Linked DNA regions of Caenorhabditis elegans. The protein of the gene in region 2 purifies or fractionates together with the protein of the main gene of each other region. This does not show direct contact. Each region holds a gene or a part of one and is shown on either strand. Other genes may lie near its edges.

What was found.
Region 1: the proteins of T25G3.3 (region 2) and xpo-1 fractionate together in Caenorhabditis elegans (co-fractionation; one large-scale study listed by BioGRID). This does not show direct contact.

The regions. Positions count from the first base shown.
Region 1 is NC_003283.11:7,803,043-7,808,174, reverse strand, and holds the start of xpo-1 (Importin N-terminal domain-containing protein), read right to left. Parts: upstream 3,112-5,132; 5' UTR 2,884-3,111; intron 2,833-2,883; 5' UTR 2,814-2,832; coding exon 2,293-2,813; intron 2,242-2,292; coding exon 684-2,241; intron 638-683; coding exon 522-637; intron 472-521; coding exon 201-471; intron 53-200; coding exon 1-52. Other genes in the region: uvs-1 (UV-stimulated scaffold protein A homolog), read left to right, coding at 4,490-4,552, 4,597-4,719, 4,768-4,866, 4,916-5,132.
Region 2 is NC_003279.8:7,557,863-7,563,099, reverse strand, and holds T25G3.3 (60S ribosomal export protein NMD3), read right to left. Parts: upstream 3,262-5,237; 5' UTR 3,257-3,261; coding exon 3,115-3,256; intron 3,070-3,114; coding exon 2,942-3,069; intron 2,892-2,941; coding exon 2,496-2,891; intron 2,044-2,495; coding exon 1,829-2,043; intron 1,783-1,828; coding exon 1,535-1,782; intron 1,446-1,534; coding exon 1,357-1,445; intron 1,309-1,356; coding exon 1,138-1,308; intron 1,089-1,137; coding exon 936-1,088; 3' UTR 751-935; downstream 1-750. Other genes in the region: Chitin synthase chs-1, read right to left, coding at 3,644-3,807, 3,919-4,173, 4,227-4,629, 4,675-5,057, 5,104-5,237.

The DNA.
Region 1 (5,132 bases), on a different chromosome or scaffold from region 2:
TGCATTGGAAAACCGCACTGAGGATGCTCGGCACTTGTGGACAGAGGAGAGACTGAAAAATAATTTGATAAAGTTATAATTTTTGAGAAATTTTCGAAATTTAAAAGTTAAGAGTTGAGACGAATTTGAAAATTTTTCTTCAAGCCCTAAATTATTTTTATTTTATTTTAATTTTTTCAAAATTTCAAAAGATAACTGACTCCAAGTTGTGTGACCAGAATGCTGAGCAAAGACAACACTTTCGGCTCTCTCGCCTGTGGCACATTCTTCTGGTAATCGAAGAGAACCGCATCGAACAATGGTGGAACTATACTGTCCAGAATGAGCTTGGCATCTCCGTTCTTTGAAATGAATGTCGATAGAAGGATGAGAATCTCTCGCTTCACAGCTCGCATCGTCTTTACCAATGGATTCTTCAAAGCCTCTTCGCCGGCGGTTGTCACTGCTCGGGACACCTTCTCGGATAGAATTCTAAAAAAATTAGGTTTACTAACAGAACTTCTTTTTTTTTTAATTCTCACTTGTAGAGGGATAGAAGATCACTGTAGATATTTCCGAGTTGGGTTACAAACGAAGATCCAATGGATTTGCAGGCGGCCACATTTGTTTTTAGTATATTCAGGACAGATTTGACCATCTGAAATTTGAATAAATATAAAAGCCAACCCCTTAAAATAAATTACCTCCGGCTCTTCGAGCACACTGTCGTTAGTGGATGCTGCTGCAATGATGTCGTTCCATGTGCGATTTGGGATATCCATAAGCTTCATGATCAGGTCTTCTTGCAGATTTCCATCTATCTGCGCAGAAATGATGTGTCCAACAGCCTCGTAGAATACGTGAACTTGTGCATGAGAAAGATCGCAGATGATTCCAGTCAAATTTTCGAGCATCTCTTCGACGAAAGGCTTATTCTCAGCTGGTTGGACGATGACGAAATGCCTCTTACATTTTATGGAAATCTTGATGAATGTATCACAAGCCATGTCCTGTACACCTTCATGAGTCTCGTGCATGAACTCGAAAAGCTTATTGATAACCGTCTTCAGGAACTTCCAGTGAGCTCGAAGGAATCTCGGGTACTGTCCGACAACATACATGATGTTTGACGCAATCACTGCCTTATTGTCCTTTCCACGTTTCTGTTCACAGAGCCCGAGTAAATCACGAATAACAAGAACAAGGAATCGCTTTTCGTCTTCTTCAACCATCGTTCCAGAAATCGAACCAACAGCCCAGCACAAACGATTCAAATTCTTCCACGAAAACTCTCCTCCGTTCACTTGTGATGCCAACTTTTCAGTCATCTTCACTTCAGTGTCCTTGTTGTCAAGATGAGTCAAATAGACAAGCGTTTCACGCATGTTACGGTACAAAGCAATCGAATCAGTATCTTTGACCATTTCACGAACAACTTCTCCTTGATCATTTTCCACAATCAACACCTCTTCTGGCTTTGCCATTCGAGAAATCATTGTTGAACGAAGTTGCGAGAGGTATTCACGGTAGAGTTGACGACGTGGATGCTCACGAACCTGACTCATCATTCCGTAAAGAGTACTTGGCTGAATGAATGGACATATACGGTAGAGCTCAGCAGTCAACCAGCACCAACAATCGAGGCAAACTTTGAAAACCTCCATTTCTTCGATCAAAGTGATTTTCAAAAGAAGTTGAATAGCATAGTCGTGAGATTCTCGCATTAAAATTTTAGCCTCAGTTAATGGCTCATCAGTTACTTCAATCAGATGAACGTGCTCTTTGATGAACGCGACAAGAAATTGAGCCAGACTACTGATGAGTTTCTGATCCTGATCGGAAGCATCTTTGTAGACAGCAGCCAGGTCGAGGTCCAAAGATAGAACTTGGCTAATGTGGCGCATTGTAGAGCAGAACATTTTGACAAGCTTTTCGTCGTAGCTGGGATCGTTGGTTTCAACTTGAATTTGTGAAATTTCCGTGAGACATTGAAGAGCGATGACACGATACACTTCAAGCGAAAGGAAGTTTTCAGACAGCAATTCCGTGATGTTTGTCTCGAAAACGTAGCCAACTGGAATCCAGGTGAGGAATCGTTGAAGAGTCTTCAAGGTAGCTTGAACCATAGAGTTGGATGGACATTTCTCGAGAATGCTGACACACAGTGTGAATACTTCTTGGAACTGTCCACAGAATTGTTGTTTCAGATGTTGTTCCTTGGCTTGGGTGAGGTTTTGGGATCCGAAATCAAATACTTCTTCGCTGAAAAATATAATAAATGTAGCAAAACATTTTAAAACTAATTCAAAATACCTCAACAAGCTCAGAATATTCATATTGTTGATGCAAACGGTCTCGTTGTTCTTCGATGAATCAACAATATCGGTGATGAATGTTGGCCATGCCTTTGGCCAATCTTGTTTGACAATTTGAACCAAAACGAGGTTCAACTTGTGAAGAAGCAGTTGACTTTGTTCCATGACACTCTGATCAGAAGACAATTCGAACATTTTGGTGATGATGTACGACTTGATTCCTTCACGTTGGACTTGTGGCAACGACTTCCATTTGTGTTGGATGACAGTCTCAAGGATTTGAAGTGCAAAATACTTGGACTCATTTAGCTGCGAATATTGAAGAATCGCATCGACTTTGGTCCACGAATCGCGTTCTTCCTTGAGCGACATGAGGATTTGGTTAGCCTCGGCCTGTTCTTTTCCGCTCATTCGATTCATAATCTCGACGACTTGATCCAAAAGAGTCACATCGATACGGTCACCTTGGGCGAATTGACGCTTCGCTTCAGAGAGCACTTCCATTGCTGAGACAGCCATGTTTTTTTATTGTCGGTTTCTGAAATTGATAGCATTTATTGACCAACACTATAAATATAAAATAACTTACCAGCGATCAAATTTCGCAAAAATCGGCAGTAGTTTCCAGTTCAGTCTCACACACTCACGCACACACAAAACTGGCGGGGTTCAGGCTCTCGCTTTTCGGGCAGAAATCCTGTGTTTCTCACAGTGAAGCTGGAAAATTAGGCCAAAATATCGTTTCACTCGCACACACACTCTCACGCTCTCTCACACAACCGACTGTTGACGATGGGACGATCGATCTAGCCCAGTTCTGAAAATAAGAAAATTATTTTTAAATTTGCAAACCAAAAGGTGTAGAAAATATATGTCAAGAGAGGGAAAAAATATTGACCTAAAGTTTGACAGAAATAAATTCAGAAACGGAAATTGGAGATGGGAGAAGACGAGAGATATTTCTTTCATCATCGTCACTTTTGACAGTCAAATGTTTCGAAATTACTGGATTGATAAGGATCTATTCAAGACTAGGAAGTGAGAAATGCTGAATGCAAAAGTTCGGCCAAACAAATCTCACTGCGAAAAATATTGTGTGCGACCTTGCTGAATTGGGACAGAGCGCGCGATGTTATTGTAAGCAACGGTAAAAAATCGATTGAGGACACCTCGATGAGTGCACCCGTCCCGCTTTGTCTTGTCACGTGATGTGCATGACTTGCGCCCTCTCTTTACGTTCGGAAAACATTGAAAACAAAGCGTAGGAGCTATTGAGGAGGGGTCATGTGATTTTTTTTCGCATGTTTACTTGTTTGCAGATACATGAAGACAGGAGAAGAAATTGAGAAACGGAAGGACCATTCTGAATATTTTTGGCCGAGACGCGCGTCGAAAATGTCGAAATGAGAAAGATTGAATGAAAATAGAAGCAACAAAATCGCCGCACGTGACACACTACACACCTATTATTTGCTATGAGAACGGAAAAAAAACAGCGGTGAAGCAGATTTTACGTGTGAGAGACAAAAAACGGAAGAAGTGGGAGAAATCGTCGGATTCATGCTCAGCGGCCATCCCAGTTTTTATCACAAGACACGCGCCGGCGCGCGCGGGGAAAGTCTCCTCGCGGCCTTTCCTGTTCGAATTCATCGCAGACGCAAAAGAGTACGATGGAGCGCATTTGACAAAAACTTTCGCGGCTGTTGGGTACTCGCGGACCTGATATTTCTGTGTTTGGTGAGAACGGAAACAACGAGTAAAATGTATTTTACTTACTTTTCGAAAGTAGATATTCACAAAAATAAAATGTGCTGTTAAATTTTTAAGTACATCTTAACGAATTATTTCGAAAATAATTTGATTGCGAAATTAAATTCATGTTTATACGCTGTTGTTTTCATCGTTCTTGTGATTTTCAGAAGAAAAATGAAGCCAAACTTGAGAACAAAGCAAGAAAAAATGTTGATAATTTTCGCTAAATAAAATTATTTCCCTTGAAATAAAAATTGGCGTCTAAACTTATCGGGAAACAAATAAAATGTTGAAAAGAAGGCAACCAAAAGTGAGGAATATTTGAAAAAAACAACCGTATCACCTATTTCGCTTCGAGACCTGTGAACGGTTTTCTTTGCATGCGCCTTTAAGATTATGATAGAAAACATTATTTTTGTTTTTGTTTTCAGTACTGCAGTTTTATGGATTCAATTGACAACTCCACAACAATAATAAGGAAGAATTTGAACCGATTCATACGAGAAGTGAGTTTTGGAACTAAAAAACAAAATTATGCGAAAGTTTTCAGCTGACAGATGATGGAAAGTTGGACTTTGAATCAATACCATATCAAAATTTGCAAAAAGAAGTGGCAAATCAGGACGAAGAAGGCTGCGAGAATGTGATAGAAGTATTGCTGGATACTACAAGCGTAAGATTCAAGATTAACATTAGAATTAATTAATTAAAACATTTTAAGAGATCAGGATGTCCCGATAGGAAACTAATTCTGCAACTGTTCAATAGCTTCTTCTTACAATTTCCAATATTTCGGGAAAATCTACTCAATGATCCATCAGTGAGTTTTGTGAAAGCTTAAATTAAACTAAAAAATTAAATTTCTCTAGGAATTTCTCGAATTAATGTTCGAAACAAACCCAATTCGTAACCCACTCCCTGGTTCGAAAAAACATGGAAATGAGCTGAAAGTCGAAGCGATAACAGTGATTAAAAGCTGGGAAAAGGAGAAGTGTGTGAAGAACGATGCAAGAATGAAATGTTTGGTGGTGACGTTGAAGAAGACAAAATTTGTAGACTATGAAAATGGAGCTAAGAAAATTGAAG
Region 2 (5,237 bases):
GAGAATTAGAATGAACATAACACAATTTTTGAACCGAACAAACTTTTTTTGGAAAGCGTGGAGGTAGATGTTTTTTTTTAATATCCTAACTTTCGAAATTTCCGGGTGATTTTAAAAAGGCTTTTTGTTTTCTATATTACGAAAAAAACTTAAATTTTTTTAGAAGATAACTTTTTTCAGCAGCATCAAGAATGTCGTTTTAGATTTTTTACAAAAAAAGGAAAAATCTAAAAATTCCCGTTTCCCAATTTTTCGAAAAAAATGTCTCGAAATGTTGATTCTTGTTCAAGTAAAACAAAATTATATGTTTTCTTCTGTTTTTTCATCAAAATAAACTGAAATTTAAGAAGAATTGGATTTTTGTTAATTTTCTAAACCTTCTTCCCGATTCTTAAAAATATCTAAAATTTTCGTTTTTCAATTTTTCAATTATCTCTGAAAAATCGAGAAGTTTTCGATGACACCATAAACAAAATGTTGAATTTTTTGTCAATATCCTAAAAAAACTTTTACGATTTTCCAGAAAAACGTAAAATTTTTCGACGACGCCCTTGACGGCGGCATACAGACTTATTTCTGAGAATGAATTCAAATAGGAAAATCTCAAGAATAATGAGAAAAAGCACAATCTAGACCTGAAAATGCACTTAAAAATGATAAGGTGAGTAAAGGGCAAGAATGTTGATAAGAAATGATGCAGTAATAGTTTTTAAGTGATTAAAACAGCAAAGTATTGTAGGCGTAGCTTTTCTTGAAAACAGATTTATCAAAAAATAAGGAGAACGAACAAAAAACGGGGTATTTTTAATAAACAAAATGTGATAACAGAACAACAAGCGAGTAGTAGGAATAGGTTGGAACAATGATCAGATTGCAAACAAAAATATAGAAGACAACAATATGGAGAAAAACGAAATTTTGAGATAGAGCGAAGATTACTCTTGCATAGCTTCATCATCTTCTGCACTTTCAGCCTCTTTCATCTCCTCGTCATCGAATTTCAAATCATCAAGCATTTCGGCAAGAGTTGGAGCATCTGGATGATCTTCTGCGTCGTCTCCATCAACATTTGGTCCTTTCTCTGCGTCCTGCAATTTATTTGGTTTACAACATTATATCATTCTAATTTTCTCTCACTTTATAAATATTAATCTTCTCTCTCATCAGTGCATCTTCTTCGATATCCTCCATAAATCCTTGGAATTCATCAGCAACTGATGCCGTCTCATTTCCAACAATATTACCATCAACAACCAATCTCTTCAACTTCCATTGACGTTTGGCTGTACGACGAGTTCTATCGAATACCTGAAATTCATAAAATATTGAGTATTCCTCCAAAAACTGTAAAAATACCTTTCTGACAATAATTGCATCCGGAACATTATCAATGTTCATGGCATCGAAAGTTGCATTATTCACATTGCAGTTCTTCATGTCGAATGCTGAATTTTAAAAATGTTTTTCCAAAAAAATTCTAATCAGAAACTTTAGAAGTAAGTAAATAAAGTTATACACAATAATTGAAACTAACCCATAACCAAGTCTCCAGGTGATAACAAGTGTCCAATGTGAGTTCTAGCTGATAGAGATTGAGCATCAGACATTCCAACTTGATCACTTCTCACCAACCATACATCTGCCAATTCGTGTTTCTTACTCACATATCCGTGGCCTGCCTTTCTCTCAAAGTTATTTACAGGTTCCACATCGAGAACGTAGAATTCTGTCAATTGTTTTGGTCCGCAAAGAGAATCGAAAGGCTCTCTCCAGAAATTAGTTCTGTAATATGCCAATTTTCATTTCTTTTCTAGATATTTGTACTTACGCTTGAACATCAACCAACTGCAAATTGTTGGGGTCGATGAGAGTGATGACATTCGAGACACGAAGACAAAGAACGATTTGTGACATATTTCCGTATTGTTGAGCCTGTTTCTTTGGGAGACAAACGATATTGTCTCTGCAGATTGGTACGATTTCAACGCAGAAAGTGTGTTTGTAATCGTATGTGTTGTTTTTGGTATCGTGAGAGACAAGTTCCTGAAATAAGAAAATGTCATAACTGATGGTGAATATAATATGGTGTTTTGCGAACTGACTCGTAAGAATTCAGAGAATAATTTGAAAAAGGGGTGCGCGGCAATTCTACAAAATGATACAGTTTGACATGTTTTTCTAATATGTTTCATCAAAATGTAATGGTAAAATACATAAAAAATAATTGCTTTGCCGGAAAAAATCAGATAAATTATCAACAAAAAAAACAATTCGGGTAGTTTTCAACGTTCAGTAATTTTTTGAGCACTTTCAGTTGTTAATAAAAAGTTATTTTCAGATAAATCAAAACATTTTTTTTACATTTTACTGAAAAATATTGGGAGAGCATGCCCCTCTGGCTCATTTCGTAAAAATGCCGGTCGGCAATTGCTATGCACCCCTGATTTGTAGGCAAACTGATGTCAATTATTTCAGCATCATCGACTTTCACAAACCTGCGCGTAGTGATATTTGCATGGAAGTACAGTCATCAAAAAGTCGACAAATTTTCTCGCTTCTTGTTGTTTCGCAAAGTAAAAATCAATTCCAGTCGGAACAGGCTTGACTCCAGTACATTCTTTGTGAGCGGAGTGTTTGAGGAGAAGTTGTTCCAAATAGAAAAGAGTCTTCTTGAACTCTGCACGTTGACGAACTTGCACACAAGCACGCCAGAAATCTTTGGCTTCAGCACGACGACAATCATCGCACAATTGACTGTGAACGGTAAACTCAACGACGACAGCTTGTTGTAGGATTGTATTAGTGAATACTTCCTTTTGAATTGTGATTTTCACTTTGATACGCTTGGAGTGAGCTTCTGTCCATACAAAGCACGCATCGGTCAGACGAACCTAAATTTTGGATTTTATTGAAAACTGAAGTGATTCCGTGAATGATTTACTTTCGTTAGCATTGGCTTCAACTTTTTCAAGCAAATCGAAAGAAGTTCTTTGGATTCCAGTTCTGCTCTCATCCATGCACTTGGTGGAACAAAGTAACGATCACAAAATTTGCACATGTAAATTGTGCCTGAAATTTGAAAAATTATTATTTCAACAATTTTAGAAAACTCACATTGCCGAGTGATTCCCTCGGTAATATCTACCCTCGAGCGAAGGCATCCACTGCACATATTCGCTGGATTTGGTTCAATCGCAACACCGCATTCGCAGCAAGCGATTAGACCAACTGTCGGTTTTATGTCCAGGGATTGCATTTTGACTGAAAAAAAATATATAATTACTGCAAAATCAAAGCGATCTGCTTGCAAATTCTTCAAAACTACGAATATTGAGGATATCAAAACATTTTTTTAGGAAGAATGGAGAAAAATTGCGAAAGAAGAATGACCCTGCAAACGTGCTCGCCCGAACTTTTCAAGTAAGACATTTGAGCGGATAATTCAAATAAAATATCCAAGCAGGAACAATATAATCCCTTAAAGTTTCTCATTTAAAAAGAGGGTGAAAAGTTTCCTCTTCTTTATTTTAGTTACAAATTCATTCAACAGAAGTTAATAAAGGCGAGAGATGAGGTAAGAGCATGCAATAATAATAATACTAATTGGTATGCAATAAATAAAAAATAAAAATCAATTTTAGCACTATTCAGTTGTGGAAAGTGCACTTCTTTGCATTCGCTTTGCGAGACGAGCCTTTTGAAGTTTGTAGAGAACATTGCCGGTATCGGATTCCTCTCCGCGATGCCTTGTATAGCCGTCGGCAGCGTGTCCAGTACTGACACCGAGAGAATTAATCATTAGACGAGCTGAAAATTATATCTTTAGTTTTTGCGAAAATTTAAAATCATTTAATGACAATTATTCATCAATAATTTTGAGTTGTTTCGTCTTTAAACTTAGTTTTAAAAAGAAAATACCATTATTCATAATCCTCTCATCATCATTCTTTGTATTTATCACTGGTGAAACTCCGTATTCGTACAAATTTTTCACTTCTTGGAAAGCTCCTATCATAGTGTTAAGTCGATGGAGAAGCATTCCGAGAGTTTGAACAAAAAGAATAATTAGAAGGAAAACAACAATTCCCATTCCAAGTGGATCTATTTTTAATGGTTCATCGGTTTCCTCGTATTGTCCAGTCATCTCATTCATTTTCGTCCATCGGAAGTTTTCTAGAAAAAAAAAACAAATTTTTTGAATTGACCATAAAGGTAATATTGCTTACTGATTGGCGAGAACTTGATGCTGAGCACATTTTTGTGTTTCTGAATCAAAAAGATGGCAAGAGCAAGAAGAGAATTAACGAGAAGAATAGTGAAAGCAATCTGATTTCGTAGAGAAGCCAATCCTTCGGCGACGGCTTTCATTTCAGCTGGCGTCGTCTTGATCGGTTTCAGATATGCATTGATGAGCTCGTTCCAGAAAACCTTTTCCGCACTTTTCAGTTTTCCTCGTTCACAAACTTTCAAGCTATGACTTGTCATCCACACATAACGGTTTGCCTTCTGAATCTCTTTTTGAGTCTTCTCTACGTTCTCTTCAATCGGAAAATCTGCAGTTTGAGTTTCTTCTTCACGTTTCTCCTTCTCCTCTGTTGCATCGAGAATTTTCTTCACGTCGGCACCACTCTGAAAATAAATTATTAATTTCACATTTCTAAAGTTAAAGATAACCTCAATACTTCTCAAGGCTAGCTCCATTCTCTGCATTTTCTTTTCCATTTTCTCTCGTCTCTCTTCATGTTCCTTCTTCTCCCGACAACTGATTAATCTGAATCCCTTTTTCACAATATCAATCACTCTGTCTATAAATTGTTCCATAGGCGCTTTTTTCGTCTTTTGTCCCGTTGCCTTAGCGACAGCTTCACGAGTTCCCCACGTGATAACGTTGAGATTGATGAGCGAATATAAAGTGAGGAACACATATGTAGATGGAATCATGAGGAAGAATACGACACCATGGATAATATTCGTGAATTCTTTTGGATGAAGACATGCAGCAAAGAAGAAGATTCCGACCATTGTGACAATGAAGAGAGATGTAGGAGCGAGAACAGCTGAAAATTGTCGTAATCAGGATGAAGGGATAATGTAAAAACGCACTCTCGAGAACAATTTGACTGCTGGTAGCGACTAACACAGCCAACATTACGAACGCGTACGCAATCGACATGTACTTGGCATAGATAAGTTGAATATTCGACTCTGTTGTGAAACAAAGAACAATGAAAAATCCT